4 linked regions of the Drosophila melanogaster genome follow. The protein of the gene in region 2 interacts with the protein of the main gene of each other region in a pairwise test. Each region holds a gene or a part of one and is shown on either strand. Other genes may lie near its edges.

What was found.
Region 1: the proteins of cnc (region 2) and maf-S interact in a two-hybrid assay, tested with the Drosophila melanogaster proteins (3 studies listed by BioGRID, with this or other methods).
Region 3: the proteins of cnc (region 2) and Keap1 interact in a protein complementation assay, tested with the Drosophila melanogaster proteins (one study listed by BioGRID).
Region 4: the proteins of cnc (region 2) and CG16815 come close enough for resonance energy transfer, tested with the Drosophila melanogaster proteins (one study listed by BioGRID).

What each region holds. Positions count from the first base shown.
Region 1 is NT_033778.4:20,639,165-20,642,368, reverse strand, and holds maf-S (maf-S), read right to left. Parts: upstream 1,394-3,204; 5' UTR 1,284-1,393; coding exon 1,251-1,283; intron 1,204-1,250; coding exon 823-1,203; 3' UTR 701-822; downstream 1-700. Other genes in the region: CG11110 (uncharacterized protein), read right to left, coding at 1-373, 439-532; rig (rigor mortis), read left to right, coding at 1,788-3,204.
Region 2 is NT_033777.3:23,218,752-23,223,688, forward strand, and holds the start of cnc (cap-n-collar), read right to left. Parts: upstream 3,211-4,937; 5' UTR 3,095-3,210; exon of another isoform or gene 3,011-3,094; intron 2,146-3,010; exon of another isoform or gene 1,893-2,145; 5' UTR 1,666-1,892; intron 499-1,665; 5' UTR 157-498; coding exon 1-156. UniProt on the Drosophila melanogaster protein: Plays a role in posterior cephalic patterning. Probable subunit of a heterodimeric regulatory protein involved in the control of head morphogenesis.
Region 3 is NT_033777.3:17,073,422-17,080,155, forward strand, and holds Keap1 (Keap1), read right to left. Parts: upstream 4,682-6,734; 5' UTR 4,485-4,681; coding exon 4,397-4,484; intron 3,473-4,396; coding exon 3,156-3,472; intron 3,082-3,155; coding exon 2,824-3,081; intron 2,765-2,823; coding exon 2,082-2,764; intron 1,966-2,081; coding exon 1,760-1,965; intron 1,696-1,759; coding exon 917-1,695; 3' UTR 521-916; downstream 1-520. Other genes in the region: mRpS11 (mitochondrial ribosomal protein S11), read left to right, coding at 81-146, 207-314.
Region 4 is NT_033779.5:13,228,055-13,231,281, reverse strand, and holds CG16815 (uncharacterized protein), read right to left. Parts: upstream 1,451-3,227; 5' UTR 1,377-1,450; coding exon 798-1,376; 3' UTR 733-797; downstream 1-732. Other genes in the region: CG16813 (uncharacterized protein), read right to left, coding at 2,875-3,227.

The sequences.
Region 1 (3,204 bases), on a different chromosome or scaffold from region 2:
CGCCGCGGCAGTTCGTTCTCCAGTATTCGCCAGCGTTCCGGTGGCCACACGATGGCCACTGCCCGCGCGGACATCAGGCCCAGGGCGACGGGTCCAAAGGTATTGCTGTCCATGGAGTGGCCTGTGTGATCGCCCTCCACCCAACAATGTCCTTCGGGTACGCGAACGATCTCGTGCTTGTAGCCCAGCGTGGACACGACGTCGCCCTGCAGCCCCACCACGCGCTTGATAATCTTCTGGGCGGGATCCTTGGGTGAAATGAGCGATATTATGTCGCCGCGCTCCACCTGACTGTTGTGGGTGCCCCAGCGCAGCAGGAACACATAGTCCTTTTCATCCGGCACGGGATTGAGAGCGGGCTGCATGGAGATGCCTGCAAAAAGTTGTGGATTAATTAGCGCACACTAACATGGAGCGAATAAACTCCGGACGACTCACCATCCACCCTGGCCACATAACCAACGCAGTCCAGGAAAGTGACGCCAAGTGGCAGAGCGTACAGCAAGGACTTGCCAAAGAACCGAAATGCCATGGATGAACTGGTTGGAGAGCGGAGCTATCGAGATGAATACATAACCACCAGCCTTTTGCCGAGTTCCTTGTGCGCTCCGGATCTTATGACATTCGCAGCGCAGCGCCGACACGGGTTTTGTTTATGCTAAATACAGGGTGCTTCAATAAAGGCGATGCAGAGGTTCTTGAGCAGATTACGTTTATTGAGGAAGGATATTTGCCAGCTATTGTACTTTAGTTACAGGTGTTTTTTTCCGTTTTGGGTTTATTGTAATTTTGACAGAAACAGGAATGTGACTGGGCAATCGTTCAGCAGCCCTCCAGCTCGCTGGGAATGGGTATCTCGTTCTGGATGGCGAACTGCAGCAGCGCCTTGTACTTGTTCTTCCAGTTGGACACCTCGCGGCGCACCTGCTCGTTGTCCTCGTGCATCTGCTCCAGTTCCGTCCACTCGTACGACTTCTTAGTCTCCAGCTCGTCCTTCTGTTCGATTCTCTTGATGCGGCAACTGGCTGCGTATCCGCGATTCTTTAAGGTTCTCCGGCGCTGCTTCATCCGAACGATCTCCTCGCGGTTCAGGCCACGCATCTTGAGGGTCCGATTAAGATCCCTTACCGAAATGCTCACCAAATCGTCATCGGTAATATCCGGAATTGGACATGGCGAAAGTGGTGCCTGAAAATCGCACTTCTATCAGGGTTTTCTTTCTTCTTCGCATATATCTACAAGGTACGTACCAGGGATGACTTTCTCTCGCGCTTTGCTTCCATTGTGGCCGATTGTATTTTATTTTTACGGAGACTTTTAGAATTTGCTAGATTTTTCTACCTTTTTTTTTTGCGTTGTTATTGTGTGTCTTCTTCTTCCTCTCTACCTGCTGGTTGCCATTCACAGGAAATGGATTGCATAGAGTTGGCAGATAGACAAAAAACGTCTGTGGTAAATAGCGGGTAATTTAAATATACTAAAGCTAACGTGATCCCTAGATTTTAGGCTTTGTAGCATAAGGTACTTAGTTATATTTTTAAATTATTTATATAAAGCAGATCCAGATTTTTGTTATAAATACAAGTTCGAAAATAACAAATTTATATTTTAATTATTATCAATTTTAATTAACTGTTAAGTTCCGTGCCTTCCAGGTGGCATCGCTGGCAAAGTTTAAGAAGCTGCCTAACACTAACAGCTTTACAGAAGTTTTTTCCCCGAACGACGCCAACTGTTAGCGGGAAATATTCCTTCATCCTGCAGATGCCAAGTCCTTATTGTTCGCCATGAACTCGCAGGTGATGTACCACAATGTGCCCACACCGCCGGGCAACGTATCTTTGGCGGCCGCTGCTCCCGACGGCGGTTTGCTGTACGCCGGCATTCGCTGCATCAACTACATATCCGCGCCGCCGGCAAACGGAGAGCAGCCCCAAGTGGTGACCATGTCGACGCGGATCAACATACTGGCCCTGGACGTTAGTCCCATGTGGGGCTTGGGCAACGGTGGGCCGACCAAGCCATTCGCCATTGTGGGCGACGATCTAAGCGTTCAGGTGTGGGACTGCGCATTGGGCGAAGCCGTCATCGGGCACAAGGCCCATCAGCACCAGCACGAGGCGCGGGATGTGCGCGTCGTGCACCACACTACCAACTCCGTGCTGATGAGCTACCTGGCCAATGGTAACATTCTATCCATGGACGCCAGTGATCTGGTCATCTATTGTGTGGCATCCAACACCTACTGCCGTCGCTCCACTTTCATCTCGCCCCGAAATCACCAACTCACTATGGTGCGCTGCTCGCCCTACAATGACAATTTGTTCGCTGTGGGAACGGCTATGGGTAATGTGCTGGTCTGCGATCTGCGCAAAATGAACATCGTCTACAAGTTCCACGGCCACAAAGCGCCCATATGCGGCTTAGCCTGGCGGGAGGTGCCTGCTGCCGAGGACGAAAAAACCAATAATCTGGCGTTAAGTGCTGAAGAGTGGCGAAGCCGCAATGGCGGCCAGGAGGAGAAACCCAAGACAAAGCCACCACCACTGACCAAATCGAAGGCAGCCGAATCCGACGACCCTTTCGACATATACAACTTTGATCATCTTGAGTACGAGTTCGGTGCACCTATAGCTGAACGCCGCCGCAAATCTTCAGAGGATTGTGGCGGCGAATTTGTGGGTCTAGAGAAGCCAGCTGGTGCCGCTGTCTTAGATTTCGTTGAGGCCTGCGAGAGTGTGAAAGCCGAACTCTTAGCCAGTCGCCAGGAGGATAAAACGCAGCACGTGGAGGTCACGCTGCATGACTGCGAGCCCACAAAGCCTACGGGTCCCTTAAGTGATGCCAGCACCATTAGCAACAAGAACGATGCCAGCGACTCGACCGAGGGCAGTCTGGAGGTCATCCAGTACAGCTCGTCCAGTGATGATGCCGTGATCGTCGATGGCGAGGCAGCAAAGCCCAAAAGAGAAGTATTGCATCACATCTACCACCAGGCCGAGGTACATGCTTCAGGAACACCGCAGACCAAGTCTGAGCCTCAGAGTAATCTCCAAGTTGTGCCGGCCATCAGCGCGGAGACCATCAGCTTGACATCCGTGAACAGCACCCACTTGGAAACTCTGCTCGTGTCCATTGACGGCGATGAGGTGATGATGATCTGGAATACCAATACGGGAGCGCATGCTGGCAAGAACTACAGCA
Region 2 (4,937 bases):
CCGCAGCATCTCCAGCTCCCATCCATCGCCATGGGTGCCCAATTCCAGCTGCGAGTCCCAGCGATGGAGCAGGTAATCGGGATTATAATGCAGCAGACTCAAGGCCAAAGCCAGCTGCAGCATTTTCATAGCGTACGATTTTTTGTTTGAGATCATTTTGTTGCTTTCAGAGGTTTCGATACGTGAGCGAATGGGTGCGTGGGTGACTCTTGTAGTCCGTAGTCCACCTCCGCCCGCCGCCTCCTCCTCCTCCTCCTCCTCCTCCGCTGCTGTTGTTCTTGTTGTTCTCCGTCCCGGACAACAGCTCTACGGCTGCGTCGTCCGGGATCTATGCGTTCAATGACGTCGCCTTGCCCCGCCTTCCGGCCTCCTCCTCCTCCTCCTCCTTCGGCGTTCCGAAATCTGCGCAAAAAGCTGAAAATTCGCAGTTTCCACGGCCTATCTCCCCGATTTTCCAATGCTCTTTGCTTTTAATTGATGGCTGTCCTCGGTTTTGTTCTGTAAGCAAATCAAGATGTGACAACAAATAGAATGGAATTAGTAAGCATAACGATTTGCTAACTATATGTACATATGCAAGTATGTAGATATGTAGTGTAATATTCATACATTGCCGCATGGCCATATATGCAGTTTGAATGTTAAATGAAAATGCTTTTGTTTCGAGTGGTGCAGCCTTTGTTTTGTTTGCCAGTCGATTTTATAAATTGCTAAGCACGAGGAAGTGCACCAAAGAAAGTTCAACTTCCGGGTCGGTAACGTCTTTTATTAAAAACACATCTAATTTCCACATCGCGATTATATTAGGATTCATATTTATTTAGCAAAAACGAACACAATTATGTTTTTCTGTTCGCAATTATGTAGTTAAGGTACATAAGTAATACTTTCGAGAGATATTAAAATAAATGAAAGATTGTCGTAAGGAAACATCCCTTATCTCTATTATTTAAACTTGAAATTATAAATGTGCAGAAACACTAACAAGGTTTTGCTACAGAAACACAACACATAGTTTGTTTTCATACCAAACCAAAGTGGATAGCCTAGAAAGGCTGTTATGATGATGACCTAGCGCATTTCAGCATAGTTAATTTCATATTCAGAGACAATTAAGCAGGTCAAGAATCGAATTTTCCGAAATATGTGTGTATAATACATAAATACATATATGCATGTATCCTTCTTTGGTTGTTGTTTTGTCCGAATTCTGTTTGATATCCACAACGCATTTAATATGCCCATCCTGTCCAGCCACACACACACCCCCCCCCCCCTTAAACAAGGTTAACAGACAACCGCCCACCCGAAAAAGGGGGGCGTGAGGCGGAAGGAATGACCCAGACCCAGACGAAATGGCTTTGAACTTGAACTTGTTCAAGGTCTCTCGCGAGCATTTGAAATGTGCGCAATGCGAAGTGAAGCACCCGATTCAAGGACGGACGAAAAAATTGTGTGCAAAATTCTTTCAAGGTTCGATATAAACTTTCTTTGTTTAAAGCCATTTTAACAAAAATCCAAACTTTATTTGGCTCAATTCTCAATGAAAAGATGTGCGCGAGAGAGAGAAAGAGAGGGGTAGGGAAATGACGTGTGCATGTGCGTGCAAGAGAGGGTTCTTGTGTGGGTGTGCGTGTGATTGTGGCTGTATTGCAGTGCACTCACCTCAAATTTTTTTTGGATGATGAGACCCGACTACAACGGTAAAAAAGCTGCGGCGCAGTAAATGTTCTCCTTGTTGTTGTTGCCGTTGCTTGATCTTCTTTTCCTCTTCGCTGCTTCTTCTTCCCTGCAGCACACACAATGGTTTATTGTTTACCGTTCACTTTTCTTTTGCTCTGCAAGACCTTATTTGTTTATGTTTCACTTTCTACGATTTTTACTTTTAATTGCTGGAAAACACGCGTTTTATTTATTTAACAACTTTAAATATATATTTCGCTTGTCTGCGTCCTTGAACTTTCTCTTCTGCAGACAATTTGCATTCAAGTGCCATTAAATATTAATAACAATTGATATTTGATTATGTGCCACCTGGTGCTTCTTTCTCGCCGTCTGGTACGCACTTTTGTGTGAGAGTGTGTGTGGTGGTGGTGCCGTTTTACGTGGTGAAATCGTCACTTATTTGTTAACCCTATATTGGACCTACGTCAAATTAGAATTTGAAGTCATTTGTATGTTAAGATTTTCAAGACAGCTGTAAAATTATTTAACTACGTTAAGGTACAAAAAATTGTCAAGTCCATCAAGGGTTAAAACAATAATATTTTCGCTTCGTTTGTTGTTTTTACACTGCCTAATATTTGCATGTGTTTTGCCTCCACATTGCTTTGTATTTCTTTGTTTTCTTTTATCGCCCGATTCTCGTCTCTCTCTGACTCACACACCAAAAAAAAAGACACGCACACGTTGAAGCATACAACTGCTGTTTTTTCTTGCCAATTCCAATTCGGTCTGTGCCCACAATTAATGCAATTAATTAAATGCAAAACGATTTAATTTTTTGCTGAGAATCGCGGAGAGCAAAACAAATAGGAAAAATGAAATATGGAAGCTTCGAGAATGAGCAGAGAATAACCGGCAACGGCAGCATTTCAACATTCACTCTGCACTTTGCATCAACAAATTATTTATCAAATTGCTAGTTCCTTTTCGTTCCCTATTCTTTCTAACTCGATGTTTTTCTCGATTGCATTCTGTCAGCTGAGCGGTGGAGAGGGAGCGAGAGAGGGAGACTGAGCGCGAGAGCGAGAGGGGGCGATTGCTGAATAACTGTTGTTGCTAGCCTGTTGGTCGTTGTTGTTTTGATTGCCTTTAACCCACCACCCCCACCGACAGTACCACCACCACACAATGAGTTGCACTTATTTAGTGGGGCATGCAACATTTCGCAACTGTAGTTCTTAAACGCACAACCGAAACTTTTTCATTTGTTGTTCCGGCACACAAGCACACGCAGCCAGACACGCACACACACACACACACAATTTAAGCGGCGTGTACTTCGCACCTTTACGCGTCTTCTTTCACTGTTATTTGGCAAATTATTGTCGCGTCCGCTTTGCTACTCTCTTTCGCCAACCGCCGTACCTACGTGGTGAGCTTGAAAACGTGTTTTGTTTGTTACGCCGCGTTTGGCAATTTCTCCGCCGTCGAAATCAGTCGCGATTTTCGATTGCGGCCTCAAAACATTTGAGGCAAAAAACGTCTGTCCAGCGCGGTGCTTTTATCAAGTGTGCCCAGTTGAGGCTCTTTGCAGACGATTTTGTTGAGTTTTGTGCTTTTGCGGTTTTTTTCGGGGCCGCCAAGTGCGGTCTCACCATAATACATTGTGCTTTTAACAGAAATGTTAAATGTAGCTTAAACTAACAGTGACAGAAAGAGCTTTTTAAAGGAGAGCTAGAAATGTAGATTTCGGTTACAAATGTATCTTTATTACCTACCTTTTATTTCTAGATTTAGTTTTTAGAAAGAATATCTTAAGAATATAAAGAACATATTTATATTTTCCCTAAGAGTAACTTATGTAGACATGGTGGCTATTGCAATTTTATGTAGATATGGTGTAAGCTTATAAGCTTTTGACACGTGTCCATGCAAATTTTTCAGTTAATTTGCATTAGTCATTTTTTTAACTAGTTCTACATAACAAAGTTGAAATTTGTATTAAAATTAAAAATAAAGGGATATATATAGTTTTATATTTCCTTAATATTAATTTAAAATAATTTTTTTTCATGATATTGATATTGATATTCTACATGCATGCAAAAATACAAATATCTTAACAATAACTTCCGTTAGCTATTGATATCACAAATGGATACATTTGTATTAGACTTGCTCAATAAAACAGATAGCCACACTATTCAGAACGTGTAATTCAAAATATAGCTAGAAGACTATCAATCTATCTAAAAGACCTGCTCATAAAAATTAATTTAGATTGATGGGGGTAATTTATAGATATATTGCGTTCTGAACTGGGAACATTTGTGCTGGCATTTGGATAAAGTAATTAACACCGAAGCCTTTCAATACTTACCAGATTGGTAAAATGGAAGCCACCTTTCCAAATGTTGGTCTTGGCGTTACCTGGCGTCGTCGATTGGGTGATGGATGGCGTTGGCTTGGCCAGTACAGCGGGCGTGGAAGCCACCGTGGGCTTAATCAGCTTACTCAACTTCGAGGGTGGTCCAATGGGCACCCGGACGGTGACCTTCTTCTTCGGATTCAGCTGCAATTGGGTCTGGTGGTAGGTATATTCGATGTCCTTCGCCGGGGACAAGGATTGCAGCCGAGGCAGATCCTCTAAGTCGATCATTATTGCTTATCAGCTGGCACAAATGGTGATGAGTCAATATGTCAACTGGAATGAAAGCGAACACACAGATAAGGATGGGTCACTAGGTTGACTAGGCTTTTTTTTAGGATGGTGGTTTTGAACTTAATAATTCTGTTCCGACATTAAATATAAACAGTTTGTTTTCGGCGTATAAGAAAATGTGTTTTTACTCATTTTGATCAATGTGACAGATCAAAGATATAATAAATTCATATATATTTTAGTAGCCATACTCGTGTGATTTTATTTTTAATTTCTTCGAATTCCCTGCTAGTAACTTTATCGAACTTTCACTGTAAATGAGCTATAAAAACTGATAAGCGAACTTCGACGGGTGGAATTCAAAAATGAGATATAGCCAACCTAATGGTTTGTTTTATTTGCCATTTATTGAGAAAATTACACACATTCACACAAATTCAAATGTAGATAAGTACAGTGGATGCCCAACAACAATATCAACTCCCACGAGAATCCAGAAAGATAACCGCGTGGAAACGGCATTCATTATCTATCAATTGATTTGGGAACAAAGTATTAGGTATCAGTAACCATAGAGGGATTTCTCCATTGTACACAATACAGTGGGCCC
Region 3 (6,734 bases), 6.1 Mb from region 2:
GTTGTATACCATATATGCATTTGAATAGTATAATATGGGCATAGAATCATTTAAAACAAAAAACTTAAATTGTATTTCAGAAAGCCATTGAATTGGGCTGGAAGACAGTGCGAGTAAAGGTTCGTGGTCTTGGCCCTGGAAGAATGGTATGTTCAATACTTTTTGTCTCTCATGTCACTTAAAAATAATTAAATGTTTTGATTCAGTCGGCCATCAAAGGACTGCAAATGGGTGGGCTGAACATCGTTTCCATTACCGACAACACACATGTTTCCTTCAATCCTCCAAGACCCCGAAAGCAGAGAAGTCTTTAATGTGCAACTTGTTAAGACAACTTGTTTAAAAGCAAAATACACAAATAGTCGTTTACAAACAAATACGAAAACAACAGTTTATCTTTCTAATGGAATAAATAGCACTGTCACGGTGAGTTTTATTAGGAAGATATTTGAATATGGCCTTTTTGTTGCCACGGCCAAAGGTTTGCACAAGATTAATAGCAAAAAGATTAAATAACTTTGTAAAATATGTTTGTTTTATTTTTCTTAAATTATTTGCTTTCTTTTCTTAAAACCTATTTTGGATGCGCATAATTCCTCTTCTTATCCTACGTTAAAAAAAGTACAATACGCAATCTATCAGTTTGGATACCTACAAAATACGTAAAATACGAACTTTCCTCCCACTAATCAACTATTAACCCTAATCAATCTTTTTAAAATGGGCTGACGAGCGCCAGTTATGTTATGGATGCCATAAAAACGGTTTGACTAATTATCACCTAGCGAACACACTAGTAAGTAATATTACAATGGAATGCTGCTTCTCAACATGGAATTCTAGGGGATACGATCAGGCTTTGTACAATGAATGATGTTTTTGGTTGAGGCTAAGCGTGAGGCTCGGATTCGTATTGTCATGTGGCTGCGCTCGTGAGTTTTCGCAGGCGACCTTCGATGTGATGGTGAAAAACTTTCGCTGCTGTGCTAAATAAACATTCTTTTTGTGCTTTTTTTAATTTATGCCGCATATCATTAGCATTTCTCTCATCATCTGTGAAAGACGCTGGTGGAGTTCTTCGAAATCTTTCCTGCATTCTGGACCAAGGACAGTTTGGATTGACTAGCTCCTCGGATCTAATGGCGGGAATTTGAAAACTATGGTGTTCTGCAGGAATATATGGTTTTATATCCATTTCCGAGTCACAATTGTTGCAGCCGCTCATTCCGTATGAAGTATGAAACTGCATATTGGACGCCGTCCCAGGATAATGTGGACTCCCACTGCCGTACGTGTTTTGTGGTGTATGAGCATTCCTTTCCCCGTTGTTACTTCCATCCGGGTGTGGGGCGTCACTATCTTCGTAGTCCATAAACGTGGTGGAACACGCCGGCTGATAAATAACCGCCGACGCATGACCCGATCTTCCCGATTTTAGTGGTGTTCCTGTTGTCCACGTATTTGTTCGTGGATCGTAGACCTCGACTATGGACAGAAAGTTGTTGCCATCGAATCCACCAATGGCGTACAGTTTTTCGTCCAGCGGAGTCAGCGAGAGAGCACTGCGTGCGATTTGAATTGGCGCAACCATGTCCCAGGTATCGTTTTCGGTATCATAACGCTCCACGGTGGCTAGTTGACGGGTGCCATCGAAGCCACCAACAACGTAGATGTACTGGTTAATTGCAGCAACACCTGATAGCAATTAAATCGGAACTTAGTTGGAAATTAGATAACAGGATGCGCCAGTCATTCTTACCCGCTCCACTGCGACCCGTTTGTAGTGGTGGCAAAAAACTCCACTCATTGTTCTCCGGATGGTAGCACTCCACGCTGGCCAAGCGCTCGTTTCCATCGAAACCTCCGATGGCATAAAGCAGACGGTTGACCACCACAACACCCACTCCCAAGCGCTTGGCATGCATCGGCTGTACAAGAGTCCAGCGATCCAAATCGGGGTCATAGCTGCAAGAGATTTAAATAAATAGGGTTTGCTAAACTATGTCGATAGAATAAACAACCAGAAAGGCTTTGTCAAATTAATTAAACTATTATCTATTGAAATGATGAACACTACTTACTATTCCACCGTGTTGTGGTACTCCATGCCGGCGGACCCGCCTACGGCGTACATCAGCTCGTCCATCACGGCCACGCCCACTCGATGGCGTGGCACGGACATGGGAGCGCACGGACGCCATGTTTCGGTGACTGCACTATAGCGATCCACCCAATCCGAGTCGTAGGAAGATCCAATGTTGTTATTTCTGCCTCCAACCGCATAGAACTTGCCCTTGAGAAAGGCGGCACCCAAACCAGATCTTGGAATGCGTAGATTTGCCAGTGTCGTCCACGTCATGTCGTCTACATTGTAGGCCTCCAGAATGTCCAGTGAGTGACGAAAAAAGCCACCGGCGACAAATATCATCCTTGTGGTGTTGGGGGTTCGTTCCTTGACTCCTGGACACTTGTGCAGCGTTAAGTCCTTAAAGATCTTGGCCAAATACTCCCGACAGGCGGGCACCTTTCGCAGAACATCGCAGTTTTTCATCTGCTCCTTGAGGAAGTTGGGCGTAAGGAACTGACAACGGACAGCGCCCAAAATGTGCTCCATTTTACAGTGTCGATTGTCCTCGTCGTATTTCACCCACTTTAGCACAGCGTTGTAAACCTCTCGCTCCTCCTGCACATTCAGTTCATCCCTTCGTATCAGGGCAATCAACTGATATGCCGAAAGCTGCAGGAATTCCTCCTCTTGGCACACCTTAGGGGAACTCAGTAGCTATAGTTTTGTGTACTCTTTTCATATCGTAAATAGGTTACCTGAGTGAAATTTCGCTCAATAAACACATTGGCCTTCTTTTGCAGCTCAACACAGCCGTGTTGCTCAGCAAAGTGGGCGATGCCAATGGCATTCGTGGGATCCAATTGGCGCTCCAGAAAGGCACAGCAGGCATCGATTACGTTTGGCACTTGGAACATGGTGGCCGCGGGCAGGAGTTGGCACACCGTTACCTCGGTCACACGTATTTGGCCGGTGTACATGAAGTAGAGGATGCGTGACATGGCCGTGGGACACACCTGTAACACCGAAACGGACGAACTGTTCATCCATTAAACCAACCAATTAAGGGCCGCGCTTGAGCTCAACTTACCCCTTGGAGCTGGACGCGCGACATCTCCGACTCCTTGAGTCCCCCCGTGAACATGGCCTTGAAGTAGGGCGATGCCGCCGACAGCACCACTTTGTGGGCGGGAAAGAGCTCCTTCTTCACCTCGAGTACCACGTCCGTGAGCATGCCGTGCGAACGCATCATGTACATCATCTTCAGGGCCTCCTTGGCGTAATTGGACATGCAGAAGGTCATGTCATCATCCGTAGCATCGTGATCATCTAGGGTCGAGTGCGCCGATCCGAATCGACCACCGCATGAGATGGAACAACTTTCCGAAGTGTTGCTCATCTCAGCCTCTGGAAAATCGAGGAATAGATCATATTGTAATTCCAGGACATATTTCAGAAAATATTCAATTAATTTTAATTATTTAACAATTAATTTAATAATAATTAATAATTATATTAAATAGTAATTAATTATTATTAATTATTATTAATCTTAAAACCAATACACGCCCTACAGTTGAGCCCTGTAACCCTTGTACCTCGTACCTCATCCATCGCAAATAGATCGACAATCAGCGCGGGCTATTTATTCTATTTTATTATCTAATCTGTTATGAATTTGCAAAAAAATTAAAAATGGCACTTTAAAGAAATCCTCCAAGTGTGAAATGACGTACTATATTATGGATATCCAAGATAACCGAAAGGTTAGATACGACCGACCTTTAATACGTTCTAGAAATTAAAGCGGTCATTTATTTTGTTTTTGAATGCGAATAAGTTGGTAAGTTTATGAGTTGGTAATTTGGTAAATTGGGCTTAAAGATTTATAAGCTCTCGATTAGAAAACTAAGATAAGATTAAGGTAAATTATCTGTTTATTTCAAGAACACTCTTTCGAATGGATACTACATTGCCAACCGGAATTTGCATTGTCAACACAAACCAGTTTCTTTCGCGATAATATTTCAAATGTCTCTAATTATTCAAACGTCCAAATCGAGCAATGCAACCTGGATAAGTGCCGTTTCACTCCATTAATTTTTATCATCTCACATTCAACTACAAGTGACTTCACTGTAGCACAATCTGGAATCGTTTTCGCCAATCATTGTGGGCTGTTTCAGAGAACTTGATTCGCAATGCGCACCGTCATGATCAGTGGTTTCTTTTTTTTTTACCAAAAGCACGCGTAGCGAAAATATCTGGCAAACTTGTTGCGAATTGAACTGTAGACCCAAGGTCAAATCCAGAACTTTAAAAAAAACCAACCTTCTGGGCGGCAGGGGTATCCCTTGTGGTTGGGCATGTCGGAGATGTGGGTCTCATATTGCATGGGCGAGTGCATTTGGGTTTGCATTTTGGCACTAATCTCGGATCGATAGGGATCCTTCACAGCTTCGTTAGTTCGGTAGAGATAGTTTCAATAATCAATAGTTTCGCAAACAAAGACTGAAAGTCCGTGTGAAAATGAAAGCGCGCGATCAGCTGCTTCTCCGCAAATCCGCTCCGGCGATCATGCGTGTGCCGTGGAGAGAGCCCGTCAACTGACTGCCGTGGTCTGCGTCTGCCCAGCCACAGAGCCCACCGAGACTTATCTCTCGCGGGGATGGTGGCGGAGTGGGGGGAGCGTTTCAAAGAGCGTTATCATGCTTACATATGTGTGTGTGTGCACACATGTGCCTGAGTTCTATGTGGCCCTTCCAGGTGAATACACTCCGTGTTGTGGCGATAAAAACTATATAATGCCATGAATGAAACGCACGGCCCGTGGGCGGTTTTTTGGACCGTAACGATGATGCTCACAAATCGTAACCGATGGCAAACATAATTGTTTACCATGTTTACCAGCAACAGGTTTTTGTATGGAGCCTCAGGCTACACAGCGTTTGCAAAAAAATTACGCGTGTCATGCAAGCAGTTAGGAATTTCGTTTTGTTCAAAAGATAGCTAAAATGTGTTCAAAGTCCGTGCCAAATGAACTATTGAATACAATCAAAACAAAAAGCTAAGCTAATTTCGTATGCGCATATCGTGGAATATGTTTAAAAGAGATTACGTCTCTCTATTTTTTATTGCATAGTATTTTAGTCATGATCGGAGTTCTGTCTTAAGGGAATTTCACAACATAAATGGCCATATACACAATATTGTACGGTATATCCGATTAATCATTGTTACCAAGCTCAATTGAAAAGGCAATAAATTTTGAAGTATCAAGTCATGTTCCCAAAACAATTTCAATTTATGAACGCCTTATACACATGACGATAGAAATATTAATATCACTGATACACACTTAAAAAAATTTTTCGCATTAAATGAAGTAACTACAATAATGAAATATTTTTTTTTTTCATTTAATAATATTAAGACACAAAACCCTTTCAAAGATTATCCTTTAATTTTATTATTTATTCTAGAGAAATGTTTACAAAACGTTTAAAATTTATCGTATGTTTTTCTTATCTGAATCACCAAATTAAAACCACTACATATGTACTACACAAATATTTTTGTTTAATCAGATAAGGGCAAAAGGGACTTCCCCCGCCAAAAATCCCATATAAGTATTATGGCGAATCAAACGTACTTTGGAAAATCCACGCCCTTTAATAACATTAGTTCATCAAAGTGCGGCTTTAAATTTCCGCATAAAGTGACGCTGAGTTGGTTGTTGGTAAATGAATGATAAAGGCAAAAACTGGACGAAATAGTGCCGAATCATGCTGAAGAGGCAAAACCTTACACACTGTCACAGTGGTACGTCGGTGTAGGTGAAAACAGCAGCGTAATCAGCACGGATGTTGGGGATGTGTGTTTGTGTGTTTGCAGGTACCGTTGAACTTTGCTTTCACATAAACAAATATTACTCACTTACATTGCTCTCCCTGGGGCGACAGCTGTCACCCTTGCACACACGTACGTACTGTACATACTATTTACATACATACACACACCCGCACTTCCAACGCCATGTGCCAAACAGCTGATAAAGGCCATTGAAACTGAACTCGAAAGAAGGCCACTTAAAACAAACCACTTTGTTGTAAGAGATTACCGCAATGCAGGACAAACATTTACACTTTATCACCAGGGATTTCAAGATCTCACAGATACTTCATATATTTATGTATATAACCACGTAAATCGGCTGGGAAAATACACCGTTAATTTCTCCCTTTGTTTCATTGAGGTTTTCACATGCAGATAAATGTACGATCGTAGACAAATAAAAGGTTTCCCAGCTGGAAACTAAACTATGCGAGGGTCATGCACTTTTTATGCCTTTTTTGCACTTTGTATGTTTTATTTACTGCTACTCACATCTGTATTTATTTATTTTGCCACTACACAACGATTTTTTCTACTCTTCTTCTTAAGGTAAACATGCAAGTGCTGGAAAACGCTCGACACTGAAAGCATGTAATGACAGGAGTTGCCAGATGTCCAACCAGCTGGTGGATATTTATAAAATAAATGGTATACATGATATTAAACCACATTTACAAACAATTTTAATTATTACAACTTTAAAGTTGGTTGTACTGTTTCACTATTCTGATAATTTTTTTTTTTTTTTTTTTACATATAGATGTAGAAATTCCAA
Region 4 (3,227 bases), on a different chromosome or scaffold from region 2:
GTCTATATCTCCATATCGCCACATCCGATCTCTGTCAATATCATTAGCCAACAATCCACCGCGTTGAAGGCGATGCCAAAAAGCTTGGCCCAGTCCAAAATGTGGTTCTTTGTGGCGGGTTTGAACCTTGACGAAAGCCGCCACGAAATGAGAACGCCATGAAAATTAGCTAGACAACAATTAGTTGAACTTTGCTGGGTAATGGCACTCTGGGTAAATGGTTTCTCGGAAAAATCTGTCAATGCTTCGATGACTCACTTACTCCAGTGGTCAGACAAGTCACTGGAGTAAGTGGTTTTTGAGCCCTTGATTGAGCCCTTTTTTACCAAAAGTCATATCAAATAATAGATAATCTACTTTTGATAGCAGTACTTTTAGTTTTATTGAGCTAAAAATTATACCATAAATTTTATATATTATGATCACGATTAGGTTGTAATTAAATTAGAAATGATAATTGATCTCTTAATCATTTTATATAATTTTACTATTTTTCAAGCCGGTGGGTTAACTTAAAGATGTTTAAAATCCTAATATATATAGCATTATTATACATATGTAAAAAAATGTAATGGTTGCGATCCACTGACCTCCTAACAAATTTAACAATCATTTTAGATTAAATTTCGAATTTTCCAAGTGATAACCCCCAGTTAACAAAACCGGCAATTTAAATTAAATGCATAACTTTTGATTTATTTCAAAGTCAACAATAAATATTAATAATTAAGGCTTAATAAACTAAATCACATGATTGGGCTATCCATAGTCGCTGATTATGATATGATTTTGGACGGTCAGCAGTGCTGGCCACCAAAGATGAGCATCTGCTGGGAGAGGGCCATCTGCTGGAGGAACTGTTGTTGCTGCTGCGGCAGGATGTGACCCGGTGCCGGATTTATGGCACGCTGGAACACCGCCTGTTGGAGGATGTGGCGGTAGTATAGACTGAGGCGCACCTGCTGTTCCAGCATGGCGGCATGATGACTCCGATACTGCTCGTACTGCTGACCCACTTGCTCCTCCTGTGCCTGCTTGGCCCGCCGGCTGAGTAGGCAAGCCAGCGTGTTTCTATCGCGGCGCATCTGCTCCTTGGGGCTTCGCTGACGATTGGTGTTACTGCGGCGCACCATGTTGGCACGGTACTGGCTGACCGAGGATCCTGGGCCACTGGGTTTCGCCGCCGTTGACGTCTCCTTCTCCGCCTGTTGGTTCTGCTCATTATCCAACCAAGGTCGGAAGAATCCCTGTGTCTGACGGCGCTTGAAGATCGGCTGTTCCGACTGCTGAGTTTGGTTCTCCTTGTCATGGTCCACTTCCCGTTTCCGCTTGCTGACGGCAAACTTCTTGTGGGTGTAGCTCGATGAGTTCTCCATTTTTGTATTTCGATAATATGACTCCGAATGAGTTGTGGTGATGATGTGACTCGTTGGACGATCGCTTGCTGAATGATTGGCTTCGAGATTGATATCCTGGTTATAAGCACAGTAGGTAGGCGGTACAGGTAGCCACATAGGGAAATCCCTTTGTTTTGGGTCTGTCAACAAAGGGATTAGCGCATCCATTCCGCATTAGGTAATCTCCGTCCTGGATTAAGCAGCATATTTTATGACCTGCTCTATCACAGCGCTAATTGTCGTCGCAGGATTGCCTCATTATCCTTTTTTTGGTGTGTGGATTACCTGGATTATCGGACAAATGTGGCCACCGGAACAGGAAAGTTCTGGACCGAACAACTGTTATGCAGGCGATGCATTTTTTTATTGACCTGCATGACACAATTTGTTGTGGCACCGTGTGTGGTCCCTTTGGCTCCTGGTTCCTCAGCACACTTTGTTTTAATTCCCTGGAAATTCTCGAGGGTCCTTTGCCGAACACTTTTCCTCTAGAATGACATGGCATTATATGTCCTGGTCGGTGGTTAGAAAAAAGTGTCAAGGATTTTTAAAGACTGCTGACAGATGCGATTTCAGTTTACGGAGAAGGAATTGCATTCATGGAAGTCTTGAGAGGTGAATTAAATATATTTAATCCATTTATTAGTTTAGGTAGTAAAACACGCCTTTAAAAATATTTAAAGAGTTAAATAAACTTCGTACAAACATGTATACGGCATATATCATATATATAAATGAATTAGTAAAACACTATTCGTGTAAATAATTTAGTATATTAAGATTTATTTATCTGCGCAATTTTTAATCGCGGACAACAATATGATGATTTCATTGATGATTATTTAAATATAAAGGCGGATCTTATTGTCACCGTGTTTTAATTATTTTGCAAGCACTTTGTTCGTTCGCTATGCTGATTTGTTTATAAATTAAATAATTAAATCCAACTGAAATAAATTACAATTTTATTCCGTGTTTCCCACAATATGTCACTCGTGCCGAATCGATTCAATTCTCACTGTAGTCTGGCTATGTGAATCACTAGAATTACTTCACACCTTAATTAGCATTGCAAATTGCGCTTCCAAGAAATTAATTACATAAGATGTATTTAATGTTATATAATGGCAGAAAAACCAAGTGAGGTAACTCTTATGAGCTGATGCTTCCGGTCAGTTTTGGTCTAGAACAAATCCTCATGATGTTAAACGGCGGAAAAGAAATATCAGACTTCCAAATAAGATTCAATAAATAAGACCCCGAGTTAGATTTCAATCAATCAGAAACCAACTAAAAACCAATTATTACAAAATTCTATAAAAATTACAAGTTATTTCGATAACAATTAGTGTGTTTATTGTTTAGTCAACCAGATAAATAAATTAAACTTTAAAAGTAATCACAATCACTATTCAGCTTTTCTACAATAAGTTAGGGCGCATTGAGCAGCGCCCAGTCGTTGCACCATGTCCACCCTTCAAGGATGCTGGGTGGTGGTCTGTTGGCGCGGCATCATGTGCCTTGGCTGTGTGGGAGGCAGTGGCTCCGTGGAGGCCATCGCCTGCTGCAGGAAGCGCACATAGTAGAGACTCAGGCGGATCTGCTGCTGCAGATTGGCCTCGTGCTGAATGCGACTGGTCAGGTATTGTTGTTCGATGAGCTGCTGCTGTTGCTGCTGGGAGCGTCGATGGCGCAGGCTGGCCAAGGTGTTGCGATCCCGACGCAGTTGCTCCTGTGGACTGCGCTGGCGGCGCTTGTGGTGATTGCGCACCATGTTAGCGTGGTAGGTGCCATCCACTTGTTGTGGCGGCGGTGTCGATGTAGCCACAA